Oryctolagus cuniculus: one gene and its partners. The protein of the gene in region 2 binds, or shares a complex with, the protein of the main gene of each other region. Links are inferred from orthologs where the notes say so. Each region holds a gene or a part of one and is shown on either strand. Other genes may lie near its edges. The genes, in order: SRRM2, SNRNP200, TSSC4, SNRPF, PRPF31, RBMX2 and CWC15.

Region 1 (4,431 bases), on a different chromosome or scaffold from region 2:
TTCAATTTCCTTCCTGATAGTATTTACCACATGCTTTGCAGCTCCTCCAAGGCTCACTAGCTCCTGTTACATGTTATGTCTTTAACTCAATGCTCTATTTAAACACATCAGCGTCTTTTATTTCTACTGTCTCCATAATTTCTCTAGATTCCTTGTTCTGAACTTAAAAAATCTTCTCGCTCCATATCTCACTTTTATTAAAGCCCAACTGCTGGCTTTCCCTATCCAATCTCCTGTACTGAACTTCTGTTTTCTCTCGCAAGCCCTTCTCATGTGCTAACAACCCCACACCTCTCACCACATTCCATTCTCTCAACTTATCTAAACCCCAGCACGACTGAAGAACCCACAAGTCCCAGTTTTTCCAGTTAACAGTTCTTGGCTATACATACTCTGATTCTTTCTCCTGCAATACAAGGGTACTTCCAAATGTTCACAAAAAATAAAATTAAAACTTAGGGACATATTTTTGACACCTGCATCCCGTATGGGAATGCCTAGTTCCAGTCTCAGCAATTCCTGTTTCCAGTTCCAGCTCCCTGCTAATGCGCACCCTGGAGCCAGCAGGTGATGGCTCAAGCACTTGGGTCCCTGAAACCCATCCGGGAGGCTTGGATTTAGTTTCATGCCCATGGCTTTGGCCTGGCCCTGCCCCAGCTGTTGCTGTCCTTTGGGGAACAAACCAGCAAATGCAACATCTGTCTGTCAGGAAGCTCTGTCTCTCAAGTAGTTTTTTGAAAACTTTTGCGCAAAACAATTGAAATCCATGCAAGTTTTTCATCATCTATGTTTTCCATGAACTTCTGCAGACCTCTCAAACACAAAGCTTCCCCAACCCATTCTCTCCAAGATAGTGGGAAAACTAACCTCAGGAAAAACCCTAGAAAAAGGCAACATGGAGAAGTTAATCAACGCGGAGGGAAATGAGAGGCACTGCATGGAAGGCTGCATTTAGAAAACTCTGAAATAAAGAAGCAGAACACAAATGCCTACAGAAACCCAAGACGCTGTATGGGAAGGAAGCCCAGCAGCCTGCACACCGCGCAGCCACAGACCAGGTCCCTTCCCAAAGGCAGCAGTCCTACGAACCGAAAGCAAAAAAAGATGACAAAACCAGAGTCAACGGATGACACGAGGCTCAATCTATGAAAGGCAAGGAGACACGCAGAACAGAACAGTGATCTACTTCTCTGCAGCCCAAGAAAGCAACCCTCGCGTTCACCTTCCAGCACCAATTCGCCCCACTCTAAAAGCCCCTCTTTGCACCTGCACAGCCCACTGAATTTTTGCTTCCCTTGCAGAATGCTTCTGACCTGCAACTAATTCCTCAGCCTCAGAAAAGCACCCACACTTCTCTGCCACCTCACACAAAAACCCTCCCACTCCCTAAGGAGGGAAAACCAGTAGCTGCTAAGCCAAAGATACTGTCACATTGTTCGAAAGATGTAGAGAATCAACAATAAAAAAAGAAAAAGAAAGAAAGAAAGAAAACCTCCACGGCATCCAAAGCAGAGCTATAGACACTTCAGTGAGGAGGAACCATGTCAACGCAAACCACTAAAACCGATAAAATAATTATTCTTAAAATGAGGTCCACAGAGGGCTTACAAAGTTACTTTGCCAAGGAAGACTAAGAGAACTACCTGTGCTGGACAGTGATCAGAACGCCAAAACAATGAGATCAGAGAGTATCGCACAATATTCAGACATTCAGTTAAAAAATGGACCGAACTGCGGGAGGCGGCAGAGAAGCAGAAGCAGAAGCAGCTCCACGCCGGCGCACTGCAGTGCCTGGGGACACGCGAGGGAACCCAGAAAGCTCGGCAGCCGACGGAGCCCATCGTCCGAAGAGCGAAGCCGACAGAACCGACAGCTGGGATGTGCGAGCCGCAATCACAGCGAGAGCAGGCGGACACGGAGGCCGCCCAGAGTCGTGTGCCACGGGGGGGCCTGAAACGCGCAGCCGCAACTCCAAACAGTCCGGCATTTTCCTCCCAACCACGGGCTCCAAAAGCAGCCTCCGTAGTTTTAACGCAACTTCTGGGGAAATGTGGAAAAGCCACAAGGGAAAAAAACAAACCAACCCACCACGTTGTCTACCTTACTCACGTAGACTCAATTTTTTTCCTTCTCCCTTTCCTTTCCACGCTCTGCGGCTTTTTTCTCCCCTACCGACCGCAGGGCTGATACTAGCGAGTCCAAACGCTCTAAATCCGGGCCACCGAGGTCAAGGCCCTCCCCGCGCCGCCGGGGCCAGGAAGGCCTATTTTCGGCCCGGAGGGATGGGGGAGGGGGCTGCGCGGCGCCCCGCAGTCTGGAAGGCTCCACACCGGTCCACCGGGCCCCGGGCGCGACCGGAACGAGCCACAGGGGACACGGTCCGAGAGCGGGCTCCCGTCGCCGCCGCCGAAAGGGGCAGCCGCAGCCAAGAGGCCGGCTCGGCCGCCCATGTGGGGGGAGCCGAGGAGCCGAGCGGCGCGCGCTCCCCGGTCGCCGAGGACGCGCGCGAACCCGAGCGCGGGCGGCGGCGCGCGCCGTTGCTATGGGGGAGGGGCGGGGAGAGGCGCGCCGGAGCCCGCGCGCGACGGGCACCGCGCGAGGGGGAGGGGAGCCCAGCGAGCCAGGGCGTCCGCGCGAGCTGAGGGCGGCGAGCGCGCGCGCGCGTGCGCGTGCGGCGGCCGGGGCCGTTCTCCGCGCGCCGCGGCCTCGCGCCGCGGCCGCCGCCCCTCCCCCACCCGGCTCGCGCGCTCCCTCGCCCTCTCACCCGCCGCCGCCGCCGCCTCCGCCCGCCGCCTCCGAGGGGGAGAGGTCTTGCCGCTGCCCGAGCGCCCGAGTCCCTCGGGGCCTGGAGCCGCCGCCTCGCCGCGCCTCGCCGGTCCGCCCGCCTCACCCGACGCCGACGCCTCCTCGCTTCCTCAGGGGCCGCAGCGGGCTCCGACTGCGCCACTCGCACCCCGCCTGGGCCGCGCTGCACGTCAGCACGACCGACCAAGTGCGTCAGCACGCCGCCGCGCCGCAGGGCCCGCTGGGAACCGTAGTACGCTCTGCGACCTTGTGCGCAGGCGCCGGGCTCGCTTCGGGAAGTAGAGTTTCTAGAGGCGTAAGAGAGAGTCAGTTTCATTGCCGGGAGACTACGAGTCCCGTCGGCCAACGCGAGTAAGGGGTGGGAGCAGGACCGAAATGACAGTCTCCGAGGCTCACCGCCCGGGCGGGGGCGGGGCACAAGGCCTGGCGACGTCTTAGCGCCTCTCGGCCTCCCGCCTTCGGCCAGAGCTTTCTGGAAGTTGTAGTTCAGGCATGCGGCGGGACCCGTATGTAGCTTCGTCCAGGGGCGCGGTCGCCATTTTGTTTCCTCAGGTTGGGAGCCGAGCGCGGGAGCCTTGTGAGGGTTGCTGCCTCCAGGTGACCGTAGCCTCCCGGGCGAGCCCGCGGCCCCACAGCACGTAGCCTTTCGTGCTCAGACCCCAGATATCGGGTACGCCTGGCGCCCCCGAGCCCGACACAAGGTCCAGGCCGGGAAGCAAAGGCCGAACACCCACCGCGTTGGGTTCTGGCGGCCCTCACCCGCCGTGAGCAGCTGCGGCGTTTGAGGTGCCCTGAGGAAGAGTTTTCTGGAACCAGAGGGCACCAGCCAGGAAGGCGGTTGTTTGATACAGAACCCAGATGTATCATACCTCGTGGAAACGCCCTTAATCATTCACTGTGCCATTGCCGGGTCCTTTTTACAGGTCCATCTTTGCGGCCGTCGTGGCGTGGCGGGTAACCCGTGCCGGCGGCTCCACTTTCCATCAGCCCCTGCCGGTGGGCCTGGGAAAGCAGCCGCGGCGGGTGCGCCCCTGCACCCACGCTGGAGACCCAGATGAGGCTCCTGGCTCCGGCCTGGGCCGCGGGCAGTGACCCAGCAGACGGAAAGCTGGCGTTCTCTCTAACTGCCTTTCAAGTAAAAAAAAAAAAAAAAAAAAAAAAGTCCATTTTTCTGAGCCCGAGAATCGGCAAGCCCCCTCAGAGCAGAGCTGTAAGGCTGGGCTTTTCGGGCTCGGGTTTACCTCTGGCCGGGCCAAGGGACAGTGACCTTGGACTGGTCATCTCCGGAAGCCCAGCCGCTAATGGCATGAAGCGCCATTACGCATCTGCCGCCCCTCTGTGTGTGAGGAATTTTCTTGAAAAAAAGATTTGAGTTCCAGAGGAAGAGTCGGAGGTCTTCCATCCCCTAATCCCCAAGTGACCGCAATGGCCAGGCCAAAGCACGGAGCCAGGAACTCCCTCTGGGTCTCCAACGTGAGCGGCCGGGGCTGAGTGCTTGGGCCACTTTCTGTTGCTTTTCCAGGCACATCAGCAGGGAGCTGGATGGGACGCAGAGCAGTGCGACTGGAACTGGTTCTCTGGGATGATGGCAGTGCGGCCAGCAGCTCAACGCCTGCGCCACATGCC
Region 2 (3,718 bases):
TCACGAATGGACACAGATCTGGAGACCATGGATCTGGACCAGGGTGGAGAGGTAGGTAGCGAGCCATTTCCCAGGCTGTGACAGTTGGAAAACTTACTTGCCAGCTCTCTGACTTCTTGATACTGCTTTTCGCATTCAAGGCACTGGCTCCACGGCAGGTTCTGGACTTGGAGGACTTGGTTTTTACCCAAGGGAGCCACTTCATGGCCAACAAACGCTGTCAGCTTCCTGACGGGTCCTTCCGTCGCCAACGTAAGGGCTATGAAGAGGTGCATGTGCCTGCCCTGAAGCCCAAGCCATTTGGCTCTGAAGAAGTGAGTGAATTGCTTTTCTCAGTTCTCTGTTCAGTTTATTTCTTTTCCTGTTTGGATTTCACCCATTGCCCAGAAGGTAGCCTGCTCTCACAGTTACTTTGCATCAAAAGTAGATGCTGCTGCAGTTTTCCCATCCTGGTTTTGAGCCCAGGGAATGATACTGACCTCTCTAAACTGGCCTTTAGTGGAGAGAGTTATGCAGGGAGGTTGCCAAGGAACGAAATCCTGGCAATGCCACAGAAACAGTTTGCTTACTCAAAGATGCTGCTAGCCTGTTGTGAATTGTATTTTTTCTTTCTAGCAACTGCTCCCCGTGGAGAAGCTGCCGAAGTATGCCCAGGCTGGATTTGAGGGCTTCAAAACGCTGAATCGGATCCAGAGTAAACTGTACCGTGCCGCCTTGGAAACAGATGAGAATCTGCTGCTGTGTGCTCCTACCGTAAGCGCTGCCCTGCCTGCTTTTCTTGTGAAGGTGGTGCTCCGTCGTTTTGGTGGCAGGAGTGTTCTTCATCTTCACCCCTGTCCTCCAGTTCTTTATTCTTGAGTGGAACAAATGTTAAATGGTGGGATAAAATGCCCAGGACATGCGGTGTCCTCTGTTTTGGAGATAAGCCCATGGAAGTTGGAGGAGTGATCGTTACCAGTAAGTAGGCCGTCTCATCCCTGACTGCTCTCTTAGGGTGCTGGGAAGACCAACGTGGCCCTGATGTGTATGCTCCGAGAGATAGGCAAACACATAAATATGGATGGCACTATCAATGTGGATGACTTCAAGATTATCTACATTGCTCCCATGCGGTCCTTGGTGCAGGAGATGGTGGGCAGTTTTGGAAAGGTAAGGGGGTAGAGCTTCCTCTGGTGAGTACTGGGTGCAGCTGTCAGGATTGTGAATAGTCCTGTACATCACTGCTTCTTGTGTTAGGGCATCCCTGGAATGCCTCCTGTGGTGTTTTACATTTCAAAGGCAGAGAGGTTTCTGAAGCAAGAATGTCCTAAACCATCTTTTACTAGGGTTTATTTGCCATTTTTCGTTCATGTTCTCCATGATGATTTTCTGTAGTTGTTGTCATTTGCGTCATTGAAGTGTTTATGAATTGGCACATGGATTTAGTTGACAGTAGACCTAGTGGTTTTATTCTAGGTCACATTAGCCACAAGTTTCCATTTTCTCCTTTTGTGTGCAGAACTCCCAGAGCTCCATTTCCCCCTATTGTGTGCTTCATTTGCCTGAGTGAAACTTGGGTTTGCTTTTGGAAAAGGAGTGATTGACTTGATAGTCACCTGCTCCCAGTACTCCACGCTCAGGTGTGGTGTCTAGGCCTCTTCGTGCACTCTTGCCTGACATAGGTCTCCTCCACCTAGCGCCTGGCCACTTATGGGATCACTGTTGCTGAACTCACTGGAGACCATCAGCTGTGCAAGGAAGAGATCAGTGCCACTCAGATCATCGTCTGCACCCCTGAGAAGTGGGACATCATCACCCGCAAGGGTGGGGAGCGCACCTACACTCAGCTGGTGCGGCTCATCATTCTGGTGAGTGGGGGCACTTTGGGGCTGCAGAGACCAGACGTGATCGGGGAAGGTTTGCTGGGTTTCAGTGTTGAATGTTCCTTCAATGCCTTTCTGTAGGCGATAAAGCTTTGCTGTTGGTGTTAAATGAGAATCTGCCCATAATAGGAAAATTTCCCAGTAGGTGCTTAGTGTTTGCCTTATTCTCTATATCTCCTATGTCTAAAATATTTTGAAACAAGTGCAAATAGACTGACCGCAAACTAATCCTGTCCTCCCAGAACATTGAATAAGTAATCCATTTTGCAAGGGAACAAGTAAAGAGTCCAGGATATTGTTCCAGAATCATCCAGACAGGAGGGCCTCTCAGTCTGATTGATGTTTCTTTGAGGTGTCTGGCACAGTCAGAAGTGACTTCACGTGCTGGTTTTCAGTGTGCTGGGACAGAGGTCAACGATTTGTGGCTGCTGGGTGTTGTTTTATTGGAATGTACCCATGTCTCTAGGCTTATGTATTGTTTACAGCTGCATTTTTGCTGCAGTGGCAGAGTTGAGTATTTCTAATAGGAACTGCATGGCCATCAAGTCTAGAATTTGACTTTCTGGCCTTTAAGAAAATGTTGGCAGCCCCTGCTTTAGAGCCTTGCCACTCAAATCCTGATTGACAGGGGGATAGCAGCGGGTTGGGAGAGAGGCTTGTTAGAAATGCCCTGGCCCCACCCTGCACCTTCTGGAAAAAAAATCTACATTTGAACAAGATCACTGTCTGCTTTGGCTTGCTAAAATTTGAGAAGCAGGTGATATCTTGATATCTTTTTTTCTTGGTCAAAATACCTGACCAGGGGTGAAGCCTTATTTCATATAAATATGATCTGATCAGAAGCTTCATTTTTTATGCAGAAATTTACCTTTAAGTAAAGTTAGGAACTCATTCACTGAAATACCAGATTTTCTTGCTATTAACTGTAGCAAAGCATTTCATGGGGAATGCTGTTTCATTTATGTTTCTCTGGCTTAGTTCTGCCCCCACCCTTTCTTATCTTTATTCTGAGTGTTTGGTTAGATGCCTGCAAGTCTCAGGGGAGGGGCCACATTTCCTTAGTCCTGGAGGTAATTTGCTGCCCTCCCATTCTTTAGGATGAGATCCATCTTCTTCACGATGACAGAGGCCCTGTGTTAGAGGCGTTGGTGGCCAGGGCCATCCGAAACATTGAGATGACTCAAGAGGATGTCCGACTCATTGGTCTCAGTGCCACCCTACCCAACTATGAAGACGTAGCCACTTTTCTACGTGTTGACCCTGCCAAGGGCCTCTTCTACTTTGACAACAGGTATAAGAAGATTGGGAGAACTGTGGCTAAGGTGACTTTCCTCCCATCCTTCCCTTTTCCAAGGAGCACTCACTATTGGGTTGGGTTTTAGAACGGTCTTTGGGTTTTGGAGGGGTGAATCCAGAAAAGAGGATACTGCTTCTGGGCAGTGAGAAGGAGTGTTTATTCTCAGTAGTCCCTGCCAAAAGCCTCATTTGTCTCACTGTTGAACTTTCAGCTTCCGCCCAGTGCCTCTGGAACAGACCTATGTGGGTATCACAGAGAAAAAAGCTATCAAGCGTTTCCAGATCATGAATGAAATAGTCTATGAGAAAATTATGGAGCATGCTGGGAAAAATCAGGTCTGTGCGTGGTCAATTGTATTTTTCAACACTGTTCTTTTAAACTTTTTTTTTTTTTTTTATGATTTATTTATTTGAAAGGCAGTTACAGAGAGTGGTGTGAGACAGAGAGAGATATTCAATCTGCTGATTGACTCCCTAGATGGCCACAATGGCCAGAGCTGGACCAGTCTGAAGCCAGGAGCCAGGATCTTCTTCCTGGTCGCCCATGTGGATACAGGGAC
Region 3 (4,233 bases), on a different chromosome or scaffold from region 2:
GCGTGGGCAGAGGCCGCCTAGCTGGGCCCTCGGGTGGGAGCTGAGGTCGCCTCCCCCGCGTGGGCAGAGGCCGCCTAGCTGGGCCCTCCGGGGTGCCGCCAGGGCAGGTGGGAGCTGAGGTTGCCCTCCCCGCAGGAGGACTGCCACCAGAAGATTGACGAGCTGTTCTCGGGGAAGCTGTACCTCATCGGCATCGCGGCCATCGTGGTGGCCGTGATCATGGTGAGCGGGCAGGCGGGCGGGGGGGGGGGGGCCGCCCCGCCCCGCCGGCCCCCGCTGACCGCCCCCCTCCCGCCAGATCTTCGAGATGATTCTGAGCATGGTGCTGTGCTGCGGCATCAGGAACAGCTCCGTGTACTGAGGCCGCGCTGCCCCCGCCGCCCCCGCCGCCTGTACAGAGCCACCCCGCTCGCTCCGCACGCAGCTGCCGGCTCTCCGGGCTCTGCGTCTCCCCCGGAGCCCCTGTGGCTGACGCCGCGTGCCAGGGGCACCTGCCGAGGGGGGCCGGGCCTTCTTAATCCTGTTGCTTTCCTGCCTGTTCCGGGAGCACCTGTCCTTTCTAACGTCACCTTCAACTGTAACGCCCGCAGCTGGACACAGTCTGTAATAAAGGAGGAGACATCGGGCATGCTAACGCGCTGGCCGCCGGTCCTGGCCGGTGGGGTCTCAGTGGGTGGGGCGCTGGGGACAGAGGGGTCTGGACTGTGCCGAGCCCGCGCGGAGCGGACGGGACCAGGACCCAGGGAGCGTTCCGCGGGTGACCGCCCCTGGGGCACACCGGGCTGCGGGAGGGGGCGGCCGGGCTCCGGGCTCCCTGCGGGCAGCAGGCCCCAGGTCTGCTGAGACGTGGGTGGCCCCCCGGGCCTCAGCAGCATCTCGGAGCAGCCAGAGCAAAGGCCCCGCCTCGGCCTGGACAGCAGCCAGGGAGGACTGAGGCTGGCCCTGCGGAGGGCGGGGGCTCCTGCTGCTCCCAGCCCCTGGGGGACAGGGTTGCCTGGGAGAACTAGGTGCAGCGAGGAGTCCCCTCCACTCCCCCCGGGCCGTGCTGGCCCAGGCTGGCCTCTGGACGTGCAGGGCCTGGGGCCCCGGGGCTGCCAGGACAGGGTGGGTGTCCCAGAGGTGCCTGGGCCGTGCATGACCCGCCTGCTGTCCGCGGCTGGCCCCCCCGGGGTCCTTAGACGCCGGTCTCCCCGTGAGTGCCAGGACAGCAGGCCCCCGCAGGAGAGGGACTCAGGAGCTGGGGTCTGGCGGGCACCGAGCAGCCCCAGCAGAAACGGGGGCAAAAGGCGCTGCCCACTTGGGGCCTGGTGGCCAGCGAGAGGCCTGTCTGGGAGAGCCCGGGGCCGGACCTGCCCAGGATGGCCACGCCCAGCCCCGGCTGCCTGGGCCGCTGGGCAGCGCTCCGCGCGCCTGTCCCTGAGGGCCGGGGAACCGGAGAAACATCGTCAGAGGCTCCCGACGTCCAGCGCAGCCCACAAGCTCAGTGGCTGCCAGGCCCGCCCCGGGCATTGACGGATGGACCCGGGAAGGGGCAGCGACTTCCGCTTTCGGAAGGCCGGAAGTGCGGGCAAGGGCTTCTGCTCCACCGTGCGCGATGACGCACTTCCTGTCTACGTCGGCTGCTGTCTCCGCACCTCCCGGTAGGTGGCACTAAAACTCCGAGAGGCCTGCGCCTCGCCGTTAGTCGAGCATTCTGGGAGTGGCGGTTGGCTCCGCCCCTTCCTCCGTGTCAACGCTAGGCCTTTTCCGTTTCCGGAACCCGCTCCTGGCGCAGGGCTTGGAGGTGTAAGGAGAAGGGCGTGGGCGCATGCGCACTGGGGCACACGTCCCGTCAGGGCTCGGGAGCTGAGGCCCGGTGGCTTATGGGAGATGTAGTTCTTCGGTCGCGGAGGCCACAGTGCGCGGCTAGCGGGGGACTCGGTTTCCCAAAAGGCTGAGCGCGGCCGGCGGGGAACCCGAATGAAGGCGGCCGGCACGAGGAGCCGGTAAGTCCGGGAGGGCCCTCTGCGCGGCCGCCCTGACACGGCGAAGGTGTGCTCTGCTCCGCGGCAGAGGCGGCCGGAGGCAGCTAGAGCCGCTGCCCCTCGGCCCGGTCGCGGGATCCCGGCCTCCCCAGCCCAGGGCGCGCTCGCCGCGGTCCCTGCTGGGCCCAGCGCTCCTCCTGCGGCTGCTCCGCGGGAGGAGGTGCTGCGCCGCGCCTGGGTCGGCCCGAGGCGGGGAGCGCCGTGTGGAGGGTGCGCCCGGGCTGTCCTGCAGCCAGCCCCTCGGGAGCGCGGGTGGGGGTCGTGTCCGGGGCCGCGGGGGCGGCCTCTGCCCAGCAAGGCCGCTCGAGCTGACCCTTGAGCGCGCTCGCGAGCCCGACCCCGCCGGGGTGGCCGCGGCCCGGGCCCTGGGGCCCAGCCCTGGGCTCCGCCTCGTCCCAGGCAGCTTGCGGCCGGCCCCGCGCTCTGACGCGGGCTCTGTCCCCCGCCCCTCACCCAGCCCCGTCTGAGCAGCGGAGCCGAGGCCACCGAGGAGCCCACGCCGGGGCCACCGAGGACCTCCGTGGGCGGACGGGGGAGGTGAGAGCCGGGCCGGGGAGGGGCCCGCTGCTGCGGCCGCGTGGGCCGGCGACCCTGAGCTGCCCCCTCCCCGCGGGCTGCTTCCCCGCAGGTGCCGTGGGACGGGGCCATGGCCCAGGCGGGGGCCGAGGGGGACGCCGCGCCCCCCGACGACGCCGACTTCCCCAGCGACTCGGGCTCGGACTCGGACTCGGACCTCAGCTCTGGCGGTGCCGAGGCGGCCGCGCCGTGTGTAGACCTGCCCGCGGACTCAGAGGACTCCGAGCCCCCCTCGCCGCCCCCGGCGCCCCCCGCCCCTGCGGCCCAGCCGTTCTGCCTCCGGGGCACGAGCTCCGCCTTCTCCCGGCGCAGCCACAGCGTCTTTGACGGCCTGGAGGGGGCGGCCGGCGCCCCCAGGGGCCCGCGTGTCCCCGACTACGTGGCGCACCCGGAGCGCTGGACCAGGTACAGCCTCGAGGACGTGGCCGAGGCCAGCGAGCAGAGCAACCGGGCGGCGGCGCTGGCCTTCCTGGGCGCGCGGGGCCCGGCCGCCCCCGCCGCCTGCGCGCCCGCCTTCAACCAGGACTCCTCCAGCTGCGGGGAGGGCAGGGTGGTCTTCACCAGACCGGCCCGAGCCCGCGAGCCCAGGCCCGAGAGGAAGAGGGGCCTGGGGCAGGGCGCGCAGCCGGGCAGGGGCCTCCCGGGGACCGAGGCGGTGGAGCTGCCCCACCTGGCCGGGCCCGGGAGCCCAGAGGCCGAGGAGAGGGGCGGCACCCCCGGCGGCCTGCAGGAGGAAGACGCGTCCCCCGCGGCTGCCCACAGAGGGGCCTCGCCAGGGCCCCCCGGCCTGGACGCCGTCGGCTTCCACGGCGCCAGGAAGCGGAGCCGGGAGCACTTCCGGAACAGGGGCAGCGGCTGCGAGGGCCCAGCGGCTGAGGGGTGAGCGGGCCGGGCCGCGGCCGGGGGCCCGGGGCTCCATGGGTGACAATAAAGGTGTTGGGTGTCCTCGGGTCCTGTCTGTCGTCTCACTCCCCCTGGGCCCCCAGCCCCGCTCGGACCCTGCAGAGTGACGGCCCCAGTGTTCCGCTTCTCTGGGTTTTTGTTTGCTTTTAATTTTGAAAGATAGAGAGGTCTTGCGTGCACTGGTCCACTCCCCAGAGAGCCGCAGTGGCACAGGGGCCGTCTGCTGCTCTCCCAGCTGCAGCGGCAGGGAGTTGGGTCAGAGTGGAGCAGCCGGGACTGGAACCACACATACAGGAGGCGGCTTTACCTGCTGCGCACAGTGCCGGCCTGGAGGGGCTGAGGGGTCCCCCTGGGCTGGGGTCAGGCCACAGGAGTCCAGCATGGTGCCGGACAGGCCTGAGTGGTCCTGTAGCCGTGCCCACGCTCGCCTCTGGCTGTGCCCCACCCAGACTGTCAGGACGGGGTGCAGAGCCGGCATCTGGGGTCTTGTGCCAGGACTCCAGCCCAGCATGGGCCATGGGGGACAAAGGGTGGGTTCCCCAGGTCTGCTGGGGGAGGCCCACGGAGCGAGCATGTCTGTCCCCCACTCCCTTGACCCTTGAGGGCTCGGCCTGGTTGTGACTCAGCTCAGTGGGTGGTGTGGGTAGCCCAGGAGCCAAGGCCTGCCCCCGTGTGGACACTGTGGTTTGACCTGGGTTGGAGGGGATGTGGGCTCCAGGGAGCACCGGAA
Region 4 (4,165 bases), on a different chromosome or scaffold from region 2:
CTATAATAATTGGGAAAGAGCCGGACATAAAGTTAGGAACTAAAGATTATAGCAAAGTTAAAGATGCAGGGGTGTAACATCTGGCATAGCGCCTAAGACGCCCACATCCCAGATGGGAGTGTCTGGCTTGGAGTCCCCGCTGGGTTTCTGACCCAGCTTCCTGCTAATGCACCCTGGGAGGCAGCAGGTGATGGCTCAAGTAGTTTGGGTCCCTTCCACTCACTTGGGAGTTCCCAGCCCCCGGCTTCAGCCTGGCTTGTTGCGGGTGTTTGGGGAGTTGAGCCAGTAGGTCCAAGAGCGTGTACGCTCTCTGTCTCGCTCTCGCTCTCTCATAAAGAAAATTAAGAATTTTTTTTCTTAAAAGCTGAAGATCCACGACACGATGACTAACCAGAAAAAACCCAGTGCACTTTGGGGTAAATAATTCTAACAGCTATTCGGTCTACACCACACTGATGATCACCCTGACTTGCTGCTCATCATTTAAACCGACAACACGTAAGTCACAGCGAGCATCTCCTGAAAGCTCAAGTCCAAACGCATCTTCTGGGGGGTGTCCAGCAGCAGGCGGTCCTCCTCCAAGCGCCAGTTCTCCGAGATCTGCATTCAGCACCTCCCATCCGGGCTAGTCCAGCGTCGGTCGCGCGGAGAGGGGCTGGCGGCTGCGTCGCGGGCACCGATCAGCCCGTGCTGCCGCAGGTGCTCCCCAGGCCGGCGGGGCCGGGGGCCCGCGGGCAACGCCCCGGGGGAGGTCCTGGCTCCTAGTCTGCAAAGAATTCTGCCGCGGCCCCTCCGTTTCACCTCCCCGCCTCCAGGCCCGCTCCTCTCATTTCCTCTTAGAACGCTGAAACGGGTGCTACCGAATAGACAACCTTCAGGTCGAAGGGGGCTGTGGCAGAGGCGCCCCCAAATCGCGGTACCCGGGGACCTGAGAGCCCCGAACGCGTTCTCACCGTTGTAAACTAACAAAGCGACCCCCCATTAGCCAAGCTGCCGAGAAATCACGTGTGCGCCACAGGGTACGCGGCCTCTCACAGCCGGTTCTTCAAGGCAGGGGAGAAGACTAGTAACGCCGAACGCGTCTCTGGTTGCTGGGAGACACGGCTGCGCCATCTCCTCCAATCAGCACACGCCTCTTTTTGACCAATCATAGAAGGCGAAAGAGCGGTGGTGGGAGGTGAAAGGTCAAGCTGAGGTTTGGCGGCCATTTCTCTTGCAACTTCGGAGGTCTGGGCCTTGGGGGAAGCTGCTCCGAGCACGCGGGACGGGCTGTATCTGCGTCGGCGGCGTCTAATCCGCAACGTTAGCCCGAAGTCGTGATGGTAAGGAGAGGGAGGACTGCTGGAGTCGCGAGACGGAGAGGGCGGGAAGGCAACTTCGGGCTGGCTGAGCCTGGTGGCGGCTTCGCGCCTTTCCCATTCATCCGCGAGGCGCAGCGCACCGGGGCGCCAGTCTGCGGGTTCCGCGGACGCGCGCGAGTCCCTTCCTGGCTGGGACGACCCTCGCCTCCTGCTGCCTCTTCTTTCTGAGTCCAGGGAAGAAAGAGGTAGTCGGGGTGGATGTAGCAAACGCTGAAGCGGTTTGCGTTTCCCACTTCGTCGCACTCATGAAGCCGCTTTTATTCCGTCGGTGATGTTTCTCCAGCCCGCCTTGGCCCAGGCCCCGGAGCGTTCGTGTATTCGTTCTGACGCTTATTGAGCGCCGGCGACTTGGCCAGGTTGAGTCTTGGGCTCCAGGACTAGAGACTGAGAAGTGCCCATGCGGACCCTGCACCGGCCGAGCTGGGCGGGGTGTGAGAGACAGACGTCCGTCAGGCGCTGTTCACCGAAATGGGCACCGGCCTAGACGGGAGCGGGCGGGAGGCTGCGGCCCCGGGGCGCTGGGGCGCCTTCCGCGGCTGCCCCCGGAGGGGGGCTTTCACCCGAGCCCGGGTGACAGGAAATGGGGCTCCGGAACGATGAGGGAGGGACAGCTACACTCGTGGTGGGTGTTGGCCGAAAGCGGCCACCGCTTGCGAGAGCGCCAGGACCTGGGCAGCGTGTGGAGGGTCTACCCCGGCGCCCTCGGCAGCCGTCGGAGCTTTCTCATCAGGCCCGATGGGATGCGCTCTGGCACACGTCGTAGCGGCTGTGTGCTCGCTGCGCCCGAGAAGTGGGGAGCTGGGGGCCGTTAGGCGGTTATTGCGGGTGGAGCCCTCCTACTTTTCCCGCGATTTAGTAGCGGTGTCTGGGTTCTTCCTCGGGGTGAGGAGGTGAGCGCGGAGAGACTCGGTTCGCCGGCGATGCACCGGTCGGGTGAGGACCGAGCCCTGCCGAGCTTGGTCCTGCCCCGAGTGGGATGCTGACCGTACTGCTTGTTCTCGGGATGACGCGCGCAAGCGCACACATACACACGGTCATTCCAGATGGGAAGCCTCCCTGGCCTCCAGCGGTCCCCTTTCCCTCTGGAATAGACTTCACCCTTTAAAACGGAGGCATTGCTCCTACCAGGCAGCCCGTTCCTGTCTTTTTTCCTGAGTTGGTTGGGCCTTTCTGCATAGCATCGCTCTTACTGCTTTGCAATATAATTGTCTGTATGTCTGCAGCGCCACACCCCCACCCTGGCTTCTTAAGGACAGAGCCTCGTTACACGTTTGTTGTAGGGCTTTCATCTTTGTTTCCTTAGAGCTTGCGACACTGAGGACTGCAGGTGCCGCTTGTCTCCTAAGTGCAGCGTGAACACTTATTTTTTTGTGATGGGTTGAAGACGAAATGGGATAACTGGTTAAATTTCCCAGATGCTAGCCGGCGCCGTGGCTCACTAGGCTAATCCTCCACCTTGCGGCGCTGGCACACCGGGTTCTAGTCCCGGTTGGGGCGCCGGATTCTGTCCCGGTTGCCCCTCTTCCAGGCCAGCTCTCTGCTGTGGCCCGGGAGTGCAGTGGAGGATGGCCCAAGTGCTTGGGCCCTGCACCCCATGGGAGACCAGGAAAAGCACCTGGATCCTGGCTCCTGCCATCAGATCGGTGCGCCGGCTGCAGCGGCGGCCATTGGAGGGTGAACCAACGGCAAAGGAAGACCTTTCTCTCTCTGTCTCTCTCTCACTGTCCACTCTGCCTGTCAAAAAAAAAAAAAAAATTTCCCAGATGCTCTTCAACAAACAAAAGTGGAAATTAGGTAGTAGAGTGATAGGGAGTGAAGAGTTTGCTTCATTTGGATGTTACAAAATATTGATTGGTGGATTGGTAGAGGAGAGTGAGGAGTGGAAGCCAAGTTAAGGAAAAAAAAAAATCAATGGATTTTTTGTTTGTTTGTTTTGTGCAGAGTTTACCCCTCAATCCCAAACCTTTCCTCAATGGATTAACAGGGAAGCCCGTGATGGTGAAACTCAAGTGGGGAATGGAGTACAAGGGCTACCTGGTGTCTGTAGACGGCTATATGAACATGCAGGTAAGCTAGAGGTGAAAGGGTGGTGACACTGTGTTTCTTCTGTTCCACTTTATTCCTCCAAGGTTTCGTGTGACTAATAATTCATACAGTTGGCAAAGATAGAACAAAATTCAGGAATGAAGTCAAGGCCAGGGAGGATGTTACAACTGATAGACTAGGTACAAGACACGGGGTTAGGCCAGGATTCACAGACCTTACTCGTGGTGGGTAAAGTGAGGAGGACTCAGGCATTTGATTATTCATATAATAAGGGAAATACATGAGTTGCTTTCAAAAGCAAACCTTTTTCCAGCGCTTAAATCTGATATTTTTCAAGTGAAATTCTTGTCTCTTAATGAATGCTAAAGGCACAACATTAATGTAATCAACTAGAAGCATTTCTTCAGAGGGAAGACAGATTAGCTGAAAGAATTGATGAACTATGTTGGTTAAACTAGTTGTAAATGATTTTGCCAGTGAGGGGGGGGATTTGGTGTGAATTTTTTTATTGTGATAAAATATACATAAAAATTTGGCCACTTTAACCATTTTTAAAGATGTCACTCAGTAATAGTATGTGAGAACATTGTTTTGCAGCTACCACTAGTACCCAATTTCAGAACTTTTTCATTATCCTAAAGTGGAACTCTGTACCCATTAAGCAGTAACACCCCCGTACCCCAGATTCTAGCTGTTGGTAACCACTTTTCTACTTTGTGAATTTAATCATTTTGGGAAGAATCATATAGTCAGTACCA
Region 5 (4,410 bases), on a different chromosome or scaffold from region 2:
ACAAACTGGCAGGGAACGGAGGGTGCATGGACGAGAACTAGGGAATGAACTCTACAGAGGGCGGTCAGCCAGGGCTTGTGTGCCCAGCCAGACGCAGAGGGAGAGGGACGGGACCAAGCAAACAGGGAGCCCAGTGCAGTGGCCGAAGTCTGTGCCGCGCCTGCGCCAGAAAGACCTGGGTTCAAATCCTGGCTCTGCCATTTATCAGCTGTGTGAGCTTGGTTGCTTAGCCTCAGCCTCACGTTTTTGCATTTCCAAACGGGGACAATGAGGATTCATCCCTAGGGAGGGTGGGCTAAGGGCAGAGGCTCACAGAGTCCCCCTGGGCCCAGCACCCATTTGCTAAGCAGATACCTCCCGCCTCTCCCCGAACCCCAACACCACTTGAAGGGCTGAACTGTGTTCCTTCCCCCTCCCCTTGAAAAGGCGTGTTGGAGGCCCAACCCCAGCACCGGGCCCCTACAGAGCAGACCAAGTTCAAAGGAGGCCCCTGTGTAAGGCCTACTCCAGCGCTGTGTGCTTCGTGAACACCGGAAAGTCCAGAGGCCGAGATCCAGGCGCGGCTTCCCAGAGCAGGAGAGGGCCAGGAACCGGGGGAGGCCCCCGGAGCCCCTGCTAAGAGGCCACAGAACAGGACCGCTCCCGCGGCGCCCCCTGACGGGCAAGACGGGGAGGAACCCAGAGACCTTGTCCCGCGGCGCCGAGCCTGGCTCCCGCTCCATCCTCCTCCGGGCCAGGGAAGCTGCAGCAGGGCTGGGGGTGGGGGGCGAGGCCCGGGCTCGGGTAGGGGAGGCGGGGGCCCGCGCTTCCACCTGGGGGTGTCAGGGAGCTCCCGGGGCAGAGTGCGTGGGCGAAGCTAGGTCGACACGCCCACGCAGGGGACGCACCCACCCACCTGCTCTATCTCCCGGCAACGCCGCCCCAGCGCCTGGTACTTCCTGCGGTTCAGCTCCCGCTGGCGCCGCCGCCGGCCCCGGGCGGCCTCCTCTTCCTCCTCCCGCTCCCGGAGCCCCGAGCCGCCCAGGCCGCCGGACACGAACTCCACTTCCGTCTCGAGCTCGCTCTCCAGAATGTGGCCGCCGAAGAGCGGAGGCAGCGCCAACTCCGAGCCCGGCGGCGCCGAGAACTCCTCAAAGCCCACGGCCGCCATGGTCCTGCAGGGTCGCGGGCGGTCGCGGACGCTCAGGGACGCCGCGCGCCCGGGCCCCAGCCCCCGCCTCCCGCAGCCGCCCGCGCGCGGTGCAGACCCGCCGCTCACCCCTCTCTCTGCTCCAGCTCCATCGCTGTCCCGCTCCGGGCGCCCCGGGCCGTCCGACTCGCGGCCGGGTCTCCAGCCTCGGGCCCAGGCTTCGCGGCGCGCCGGGGCTGCCACCCGGGCCCTCTGGGAGTGGGGCTGGGGGGTGCGGGCTCCTGTTTTCGGCCTCGTGCCCTCACCTCCCGCGCCCCGCCATCCCCACCTCCACCCTCCCGAGTCCCGGGTTTCTCGTCTGCGTGCCACCGCCTGTATTCTCCTGTCGACACTGTCGTGCAGCCACGGCGATCCTCCGCTCAGCAGGCTCCAGCTCTCCTCTCCGGGACTCACCCCGTCTCCTCCTCCGCGCGGGTGCTAATAAAGTTGTTGTTCCGAACGCGCGGCCGAGGGCCAATCAGAGCGCAGCGCCGGCGACGCGGGCGTGGGACGTCATCAGTGCGCGCCGGCCGCTCGGGGAAGCTGCTCACTTGCTGCAAACGGTCGTGGTGAGTGGGGTGCGCAGGACGGGGCGGGGGGCGGAGTGGGAGAGGGGAGAGGCGGAGGTCCTACGGCGCTCCCCGCCCGGGGTCCGGCCCTGGGGACAGCTCGGACGTTAGAGCTTGGGTTGACGGCGGGGAGGCAGGCTTAACCAGGTGGTCCCTTACGGGGTCCCCTGCATGTGAGGCGTCCGGGCCTACTCCCGTGGGGGTGGGCTGCGGGGGTCCCGGCGGTGGGAAGGTAGGGCTCGCGGAGACCTGGAGGCGAGGACAGGGTTGTCAGGCTCGCCCGGAGTTGGGTGGGGGGCTTTCATGGGTCCCGGCTGGGGCTAGCCCGGCCAGCGAAGCAGGCGGGAGTGCCTGTCCTGGGCAGCCTGCGGCGGTGGGCTCGGTGAAGAAGGGGCTGGGCCGGGGCTGGGCTGGGCGCTGGGGGCGTGGCCCCTCCCAGGAGCGGGGGCCCAGGGGGGACACAGTCCGAGGGGAAACGCCTCCCCCGCAGGTCGCGGGATGTCTCTGGCGGACGAGCTCCTGGCCGACCTCGAAGAGGCGGCAGAAGAGGAAGAGGGAGGAAGCTACGGGGAGGAGGAGGAGGAGCCGGCCATCGAGGATGTGCAGGAGGAGGCGCAGCTGGATCTCTCGGGGGACTCGGTCAAGAGCATCGCCAAGCTATGGGACAGCAAGATGGTGAGAGGAGGGAGATGCGGGCGCCCCCGGGAGCGGGGGTTGGGGCTCTGGTTCTGACTGTCCCCGGCTTCCCGCAGTTCGCGGAGATCATGATGAAGATCGAGGAGTACATCAGCAAGCAGGCGAAGGCGGCGGAAGGTGCTGCCCCCCACCCCTCCCCGCCCGGCGCGGCCCTGGCCCCTGCGTCCCGCCGACCCGCCGACAGCTGGCTCTGCCTTCAGCCCGGCCTAGCCCCCCTTTCTTCCTGAAAGCCCCCCTGCATCCCAGGGCTGGTGTTTCTGACCTCCTCGCCCTGTGCTGAGCGCCTGCTGCTTGCCGCTGGGCACACCTCAGGGCGTCCAAGCTCGCGTGGGGCGCGCACACGGCCTTTGCCACGGCCGTGAGACGCCAGCCGTAGGACCTGACATCAGGGGACTTGTCCCTTTAAGTTTCTTAGAAATCTTGACTTTCTGTTTCTATGCTTTCTATTTTTTATCCTTGTGGGTTTTTTTTTTATTATTATTATTACTAGAAAAGCAGAATTAGAGAGAGAGAGAGAGAGATGTTCTACATGGTGCCTCACTCCGGAGATGACTACAGCGGCCAGGGCTGGGAGCCAGGGACTCCGTTTGGGTCTCCCACAGGCATGGCAGGGGCCAGCTTCCACTGATTTCCCGGGCGCATTAGCAAGGAGCTGGGTCAGAAGTGGAGCAGCCGGGACTCGAACCTGTGTTCGTATGGGATGCTGGTGTTGGAGGTGGCGCTTTAACCCACTGCCACAACGCCAGCCTGTCCTTTACCTTTATCTAAGAAGGAAGCATTACTACTGTACGCTTTGGTAGATACGAGTTAGCAATAAAAGTAAATAACTTACTGTTAAATTATTATCTAAAGCCTTTTCCCGCTTCTGACATCGGGGCCCACCGGGTCAGATGTTGAATGTGCAGGTCAGCTCCTGGGAGGGCTGTCCTGTTTCTGCCCCTTGCTCTTTGTCACCCAGGGCTCTTGGTGGCGGTCACTGGCACCAGGAAGCGGGGCGGGGGGAGGTTGCTGGGCATGGGGGAGGGGAGTGGGCCGAGAGCAGAGGCTCCGAGAAACTGGTTCCCCCTTCACCTAGTGTTTCCCGGGTCCCTGCTCTTGAGATGCTCAGGGTCTGGTGCAGGAGACAGGCGGGTCCCAGGCAGTTGTCGGAGGGGCTCAGGGTGGGACTGTTCGGTCCTGCCTCGGGGGTCCTGAACCAGACTCCGGAGCCTGAGTACCTGCGCTGAGCAGAGAAGGAGCCCGGGGCTTGGGGGCCAGCCGGGCACTTCTCCCAAGCCATAGGGAGGGACACTTCCCCAGGTCAGGCCCGGCCATGCCCAGCAGGGGGGGATGTGGATGCACCGCGTCTCACAGCCTGGTGTCTGACAGGCAGCACCAGCACCGCCGGGGTGTGGGGAGACCCCTCACCAACCCCCCTCAGCCCCCGCCAGCCAGCGTCTGGGCTCAGCTTCAGGCCGTACCCTCGTCAGCCCCTCCCCCGGTCCCCGCCTCCCCAGCCGTGGGCCCCTGGGGAAGGTGCCTTCGGACTGAGCCCCGCACCCCGGCTCCTCCTCCTCAGTGATGGGACCGGTGGAGGCGGCCCCTGAGTACCGTGTCATCGTGGACGCCAACAACCTGACCGTGGAGATCGAGAACGAGCTGAGTGAGTGCCAGGCCGAGCTGGCCCTGCCTGGGACCCCGGGCCACCCTGCCCTGCTGGCCTCTCCCACACCCTGCCCGGGCCCCGTGCATGAGAGCGGGCACGGCGGGGGGCGGGGGGACAGCGCTGAAGCGGCGTGGCTCACGTAGGGAGAGGAGCTTTTCCTCTCAGGGAGCCACGCCGTGGTGCCCGGGCTCTTGCTGTCATGTGGATCTGCCGCTGGCTCGTGGGACAAGGCGACCGCCCCACTTCCGGCCAGCGCCTTCACGTCCCACCAGCAAGGCCAGGAGGCAAGGAGGGGCATGAGCTGCCGTCCTCGCTCAGCCGGCAGCCGGGAC
Region 6 (3,203 bases), on a different chromosome or scaffold from region 2:
GTACTTTGGAAATTTATATTTGCTAAATAAAGGTTTAAAAATTTTTTTAACTAAAAAAAAAAAAAAAGACTGCAGCAGGGCCTGTGAACCAGTTCCTGCCAAATTCATAAGGGGCTGAGTGCTATAATAGAAACTAAGATTCAAAATGAGAAGGAACTACCAATCAGACCAAAGGTGTGCGATGGAGCTACCAGTGTTCCCACCTGAGCAAGAGCGGCTACGTGAAAAGCAAACCAAGCACAGAAGGTCGCCTGGCGTGTCTGCACACAAAACAGGAAGCTGACTAACCAAAGGTAGAAACAATCCTAACGTCCGTCCCAAGGAATGGAGAAACAAAGCGTGGTCTCTCAACAGGATATTATTGAGCCTTAAAACAGAGTGCAGTACTGATACATGCTATAACATGGATGAACCTAGAAAACATTATGCTTAGTGAAGGAAGCCAGACACAAAACGCCACTGCTGTGTGATTCCTGCTCTGTGGAGCATCCCAAACAGGCAAATCCATAGACACAGAAAGCAGATGGGTGGCTTCCAGGGACAGGGAGGATAGGGGTAATGGCACGTTATTGCTTAATAGGTATTAGGTTTTATTTGGGGACAATGTGAATGCTTCAAAACTAGACACAGGTGGTGTTTGCACAACATGGTGAATATAAGTGCCACTGAATTGCTTTGAATTGGTTAACTTTATGTTATCTGCATTTCACATCAATACAAAGAATTCCAAGGGAAAAAAGTATGTGGAAAAATATCTCAACCAAAAAAAGAAAAAGACAAGACATTTAAAGCTGTTTTCAAACAGGGTTTAGAGAGGGAGCTGGTTGTTCTTAAGAATCCCATCAGGCACTGGCGTTGTAGTGCAGTGGTAAGCTGGCTCCTGTGATGCTGGCATCTCAGATGAGCAACAGTTTTGAGCTGCAGCTGCTTCACTTCCGATCCAGTTCTCTGCTAAATGCGCCCAGCAAAGCAGTGAAAGATAGCCTGAGTACTTGGGTCCCCAAACCCATGTGGGAGACCTGGATGGAGTCCCTGGCTCCTGGCTTCAGCCTGGCCCAGCCCTGGCTGTTGTGGCCATTTGGGGAGTAAACCAGCAGATGGAAGATCTCTGTGTCTCTCCCTCCCTTCCTCTGTAACACTGCCTTTCAAATAAATAAAATTAATACTTAAAAAAAAAAGAATCCCATCACATTCACCTCCAGCTGTCTGAACCTAGTTAAACCACACTTCACTGCAGTTCTACCTGCTAACTGGAAGTCTTAGAATGCTGGGTTCTCAACATTGAAGACAAAGACTAGGCCTCTAGAATTGTCTGTAATTTTCCTTTTCTGGCAATTTCATCTCAAGCTGGGGGGGCTATGGGCCCCATGGCCAATTTATGAACGAAAATTCAGGACACGTTCTCTGTTAAGTTCCAAGTATATTTCCAGGGATGATGGATTGTACTAGAAAATGCAGGGTATCTGCCAATGAAACCACAGCCTTCTCAAGGACTCCACTACTCAAGGGATTTTTTAAAAATCAGCTCTAGAGATTTCATATGGAGAAGTAATGGCGTAGCTGAATCTGACTGCATTTTAGAAACACATTTCATTTCCAGATCTACCGAGCGGCTGAACTGGCTTCAGTGACGCCTACGCTCACTGAGATTTGAGGACTCCCGCTCCCGGGAGCTACGGGACTTCTTCTGTCTGTGAGATCGATCTCGGCTCCGACTTCTACTCCGATGGCTCCACCCATCCGAATGCCCATTGTGCCAGCTAGAACACGCGTCTGAGCTTCGTCCTTTGTCCCTATCCCTGTTCCTTTCTTCTCTGGCCTCTCTCCTGTCGGAGGACCTGTGCTCATGCTTGGATTTCTCCTTCTTCAGCTCCCTGGCCAGGTCCTCAACTCCACCGCGGGGGACAGTTCTGACCTCAGGGGAGACAGGGTAGTGCTTCCGTGCTTCCCTGGACTCCGACTTCGGCACCTTCTCGGAGCCCTTGGTGCTGCTTGTCTTAGGGCCAGGCTCATCCTTTTCCTTTATTGTCTTGCTTCTGGGCAAGGAAGAGGGAGATGGTTGCTCGACCAGTACTGTCCGGTCACTCTTCTCTTTCTCTTTCTCTTTCCGTCTTTTCTTTTTTTCCATTTTGTCTGGAGAAGAAGGGCGACAATCGGTAACAAAAGGGAAATAGAACTCCCTAAAGCCATGTCTTTCCTCTCCGTGTACGTGACATCCAGCAAAGGTAGACCAGTTTACCAATGCCTGCCTGCCGGGAGGGGAGCCCATGGGCAAGGAAAATAGGCTGGGCAGCAGCGTGAAGCCGTCACCCTGTGCTTCTGGGAAAGTGCTGCGGGGAAGCAACTTCGATGTCTGTCACCCGCAACGTCAAGTTGCTGGGCACGGCCATTCCCACTCCAGTCTCTCTCTGAAAACCACATGTCCAGATGCAGTCACAGTGGACTAGGGGTGAGGAGTTCAACGTGTCGATTCTGGGGAACACAATTCAACCCAGAACAGGAGTCTTCTGCTGACACCTCCCCTTCCCCAATTAAAATAAGGTCCCCCCACCTCTCCTTCGCATACTTATGACCCGATTATCAACCATCAATGAACTCTAGGAGGAACAGATGCTAAGACTGCCAAGTTTCTCTTGGGTTTGAATGTTTTACCTTTTTTGTGCTTTTTTATGGGTTTCTCTTCTTCAGAATCCTCAGATGAACTCGGTGAGGGGGTATTAACACCACAGCCCATCGCCTGGAGCTCTCTGGTCACATCGTCCATGTCTTCTGAGACTTTAGGAACCCGATAATTAGCCACATGATCTACCCGGATAGTTCTTCCTTTGATCTAAGAAAAACAGGCAGCGTCTCAAAAAGGCAGGCTTCATTTCAAACTGTCCAGCTGTTTGAACGCCATCTATTACCCTCTCTCTAATTCTATTACGGCGCAAACCGCCACAGCAGACCCACTCAACCAGTCTGAATCACTGCAGGTGTGCCTAGATGGTAACCCATTCAGCCTTTAGGGCAGCGGCAGCCAGCTGGGCCCGGGACAGTTGTACTAGCGTTCTCATCGGCGTACCCCAGGGCGAGATACAAATACTTTCATGTGAACAAAGGCCGAGAAGCACTGCCCAGGAGCACAAGCATCACAGAGGACCATGAGAATTCAGAGGGACAGCAACCAACTGCCCCACTCTGTAATACCGTATCATTAGCTG
Region 7 (2,398 bases), on a different chromosome or scaffold from region 2:
GGCCGCCGCGGCCGGCGCACCACGCTGATCCGATGGCAGGAGCCAGGTGCTTCTCCTGGTCTCCCATGGGGTGCAGGGCCCAAGCACTTGGGCCATCCTCCACTGCACTCCCTGGCCACAGCAGAGAGCTGGCCTGGAAAAGGGGCAACCGGGACAGAATCCGGTGCCCCGACCGGGACTAGAAGGTGGAGGATTAGCCTACTGAGCCGCGGCGCCGGCCTTCTTGAGGTGATCTTACGCAGTGTCAGAACTCCTATAAGCAGACAACTCTGAAATTTATTACCCCAGCTTGGACTGGAATCATATTAAGTTACCTCCTTAACATTTCCTCAGAGATGCACGTATCCTGCCAAACTTACTGTGTCCTAAGTTTGCCACCTCCCCTAACCCCAACCTTAGTCTACATTCTTCACTATCTCTATCCTTTCACAATTGTTTGGGTCAAATAGCTCAGACTCCAGTCTCTGATAAAAATGTCACCTTGTCAGCAAATCCTTCCTTGACTATGCTGCTGCCTCTGCATGGAGGGAGATTTTTACAGCTTTAGAGACCACTGTAAGGACTCAAGTTTTTACTGCAAATGAGTCAAGAAGCCATGGGAGGTTTAGTAGAGGAGACTGTTGCTGTAAACTTCAGTTTAAAAGGATCACGCTTCTGTGTCAAGAAAAATCTGGGAGTGAAGAGGGTGGCGAGTGTGCAGGAGAACAATTAGGGGCACTGCATCACTATGGAAGACGCAGCAATGGAGATGGTGAGAAATAATGGATATAGTTTAAAAGTTAAGCCTCCAGGCCGGCGCCGTGGCTCACTAGGCTAATCCTCCACCTGCCACGCTGGCACACCGGGTTCTAGTCCCGGTCGGGGTGCCGGATTCTGTCCCGGTTGCCCCTCTTCCAGGCCAGCTCTCTGCTATGGCCCGGGAGTGCAGCGGAGGATGGCCCAAGTGTTTGGGCCCTGCACCCACCTGGGAGACCAGGAAAAGCACCTGGCTCCTGCCATCGGATCAGCATGATGCGCTGGCCGCAGTGCGCCGGCTGCGGCGGCCATTGGAGGGTGAACCAATGGCAAAAGGAAGACCTTTCTCTTTGTCTCTCTCTCTCACTGTCCACTCTGCCTGTCAAAAAAAAAAAAAAAAAAAAAAAAAAAGTTAAGCCTCCAAGAGCCTTGATCACTAAGCTTCCTTCACTCAGCACTTCCTATAAAACTTTATTTTTCTGCATATCATCTAAAATACCATAGATAGTACTTTTTGTTTATAGTCTCTTCTCCTTTAACTCTCTACCTCAGCCCTCCAAACACACTGTACACTAAAGAGTTATGATAGCAGGCTGAGAACTGCTCTCCTTAGAAAGGGCTGGCATTTGGAAACCCAGGTTTTAGGAATCTTCTCACCATCACTGTACCTACAATGTATAAATAATGTAGTTTATACTGACCATTTACTTTCCTTTGTGGAGTCTGGATTTTTTTATTAGGTGCAAGGCAGAAGTTGCCCCACATGACAAACTCCAACAAAAATCTTAGAGACTGAATCTCAGCTAGGCTTCCCTGTGCAAAAGCACTGATGTGCTGCTGCATTTCTGTTGTTGAGGGAACAACGTGCTCTGTATGACTTCTCACGGGAGGGACAGAGTCTCAGGAAACAAGCAGATTCCTCCCATTTCTGCCTGTGTCTTTTCCCCTTATGATTCTGTTGTGTATCTTTACTGTATTAGCCACAAATACAACTACAGGTCAAGTCCTCTGAGTGTCTTTGGGAGACCCTTGACACAAAAATGTAAAATGTAAGCTCTGTGGAGTCAAGGGTTTACCTCATTACTCTACCCCTAGTGCCTGGATCATTGTTTGGTACACAGCTGGTTATTCATTCTCCTCTTTCCACGGCTCCAAAATCTGACAGAAGAGCATCAGTGGAAGATGGGGTTTTTAGAAGCTTTATACAATGTAATTTGTTATCCAACTCAAAATCAGTATACCCATCCAATCCATTACTGAATAGTACCTTCTTTTAACTTTGAAGTTGGCCTGAGGCTGGGATGGGCCAGTGAGATTAAGCAGAGGATTTCCACTCAGAATGTTTTCCATTCGGATCCTCTCTTCTTCAGCTTTTTGTTCTTGTTCCTGTTAAGGACAGAGTAAGATTCAAATTATATTAACTCTAGATCAATTTTCTTATATTATCTGATTGAAAACAAAACAAAACCCGTTTGTATTTTTTCAGAACATCACCAAAACAGGTTTTTGCTTTTTTTTTTTTTTTTTTTTTTTTTTTAAGAAATAAGAGAAAAGTCTCATTTATAAAAAATAATTCGTGGCCAGCGCCACGGCTCAACAGGCTAATCCTCCGCCTAACGGCGCCAGCACACTGGGTTCTAGTCCCGATTGGGGCGCCAGATTC

What was found.
Region 1: SNRNP200 (region 2) and SRRM2 share a complex: the UniProt entries of both Homo sapiens proteins name them as parts of the minor spliceosome. The link is inferred for Oryctolagus cuniculus from reciprocal best matches to the Homo sapiens genes SNRNP200 and SRRM2.
Region 3: the proteins of SNRNP200 (region 2) and TSSC4 are in contact, whole or in part, in a cryo-EM structure (PDB 7PX3), measured with the Homo sapiens proteins. The link is inferred for Oryctolagus cuniculus from reciprocal best matches to the Homo sapiens genes SNRNP200 and TSSC4. Residues at the interface, in NP_054733.2 of Homo sapiens: Arg1438, Arg1475, His1502, Lys1748, Gln1749, Val1752, Asp1753, Thr1756, Trp1757, Tyr1761, Arg1762, His1778, Leu1781, Ser1782, Asp1783, Leu1785, Ser1786, Glu1787, Val1789, Glu1790, Gln1791, Glu1807, Met1808, Asn1814, Met1817, Ile1818, Tyr1821, Tyr1822, Asp1928, Ser1931; in NP_001284587.1 of Homo sapiens: Val198, Ser199, Ser200, Phe201, Asn202, Gln203, Asp204, Pro205, Gly211, Arg212, Val213, Ile214, Phe215, Thr216, Lys217, Pro218, Arg220, Gly253, Pro254, Val255, Glu256, Leu257, Ala258, His259, Leu260, Ala261, Gly262, Gly303, Phe304, His305.
Region 4: SNRNP200 (region 2) and SNRPF share a complex: the UniProt entries of both Homo sapiens proteins name them as parts of the U4/U6-U5 tri-snRNP complex. The link is inferred for Oryctolagus cuniculus from reciprocal best matches to the Homo sapiens genes SNRNP200 and SNRPF.
Region 5: SNRNP200 (region 2) and PRPF31 share a complex: the UniProt entries of both Homo sapiens proteins name them as parts of the U4/U6-U5 tri-snRNP complex. The link is inferred for Oryctolagus cuniculus from reciprocal best matches to the Homo sapiens genes SNRNP200 and PRPF31.
Region 6: SNRNP200 (region 2) and RBMX2 share a complex: the UniProt entries of both Homo sapiens proteins name them as parts of the minor spliceosome. The link is inferred for Oryctolagus cuniculus from reciprocal best matches to the Homo sapiens genes SNRNP200 and RBMX2.
Region 7: SNRNP200 (region 2) and CWC15 share a complex: the UniProt entries of both Homo sapiens proteins name them as parts of the minor spliceosome. The link is inferred for Oryctolagus cuniculus from reciprocal best matches to the Homo sapiens genes SNRNP200 and CWC15.

What each region holds. Positions count from the first base shown.
Region 1 is NC_091450.1:32,566,471-32,570,901, forward strand, and holds the start of SRRM2 (serine/arginine repetitive matrix protein 2), read right to left. Parts: upstream 2,983-4,431; 5' UTR 2,765-2,982; intron 2,509-2,764; exon of another isoform or gene 2,101-2,508; intron 1-2,100. UniProt on the Homo sapiens protein: Required for pre-mRNA splicing as component of the spliceosome. As a component of the minor spliceosome, involved in the splicing of U12-type introns in pre-mRNAs.
Region 2 is NC_091433.1:111,286,480-111,290,197, forward strand, and holds part of SNRNP200 (U5 small nuclear ribonucleoprotein 200 kDa helicase), read left to right. Parts: coding exon 1-51; intron 52-140; coding exon 141-314; intron 315-615; coding exon 616-753; intron 754-993; coding exon 994-1,149; intron 1,150-1,676; coding exon 1,677-1,847; intron 1,848-2,959; coding exon 2,960-3,153; intron 3,154-3,370; coding exon 3,371-3,494; intron 3,495-3,718. UniProt on the Homo sapiens protein: Catalyzes the ATP-dependent unwinding of U4/U6 RNA duplices, an essential step in the assembly of a catalytically active spliceosome. Plays a role in pre-mRNA splicing as a core component of precatalytic, catalytic and postcatalytic spliceosomal complexes.
Region 3 is NC_091432.1:1,158,834-1,163,066, reverse strand, and holds TSSC4 (U5 small nuclear ribonucleoprotein TSSC4), read left to right. Parts: upstream 1-1,508; 5' UTR 1,509-1,594; coding exon 1,595-1,640; exon of another isoform or gene 1,641-2,481; coding exon 2,482-2,561; exon of another isoform or gene 2,562-2,652; coding exon 2,653-3,483; 3' UTR 3,484-3,550; downstream 3,551-4,233. Other genes in the region: CD81 antigen, read left to right, coding at 136-222, 299-361. UniProt on the Homo sapiens protein: Protein associated with the U5 snRNP, during its maturation and its post-splicing recycling and which is required for spliceosomal tri-snRNP complex assembly in the nucleus.
Region 4 is NC_091442.1:98,723,943-98,728,107, forward strand, and holds the start of SNRPF (small nuclear ribonucleoprotein F), read left to right. Parts: upstream 1-1,182; 5' UTR 1,183-1,319; coding exon 1,320-1,322; intron 1,323-3,302; coding exon 3,303-3,428; intron 3,429-4,165. UniProt on the Homo sapiens protein: Plays a role in pre-mRNA splicing as a core component of the spliceosomal U1, U2, U4 and U5 small nuclear ribonucleoproteins (snRNPs), the building blocks of the spliceosome.
Region 5 is NC_091449.1:4,564,892-4,569,301, reverse strand, and holds the start of PRPF31 (U4/U6 small nuclear ribonucleoprotein Prp31), read left to right. Parts: upstream 1-1,606; 5' UTR 1,607-1,737; exon of another isoform or gene 1,738-1,969; intron 1,970-2,227; 5' UTR 2,228-2,235; coding exon 2,236-2,412; intron 2,413-2,489; coding exon 2,490-2,550; intron 2,551-3,991; coding exon 3,992-4,075; intron 4,076-4,410. UniProt on the Homo sapiens protein: Involved in pre-mRNA splicing as component of the spliceosome. Required for the assembly of the U4/U5/U6 tri-snRNP complex, one of the building blocks of the spliceosome.
Region 6 is NC_091453.1:108,064,683-108,067,885, reverse strand, and holds the end of RBMX2 (RNA-binding motif protein, X-linked 2), read right to left. Parts: intron 2,831-3,203; coding exon 2,653-2,830; intron 2,134-2,652; coding exon 1,625-2,133; 3' UTR 570-1,624; downstream 1-569. UniProt on the Homo sapiens protein: Involved in pre-mRNA splicing as component of the activated spliceosome. As a component of the minor spliceosome, involved in the splicing of U12-type introns in pre-mRNAs.
Region 7 is NC_091432.1:86,193,395-86,195,792, forward strand, and holds part of CWC15 (spliceosome-associated protein CWC15 homolog), read right to left. Parts: intron 2,122-2,398; coding exon 2,003-2,121; intron 1-2,002. UniProt on the Homo sapiens protein: Involved in pre-mRNA splicing as component of the spliceosome. Component of the PRP19-CDC5L complex that forms an integral part of the spliceosome and is required for activating pre-mRNA splicing.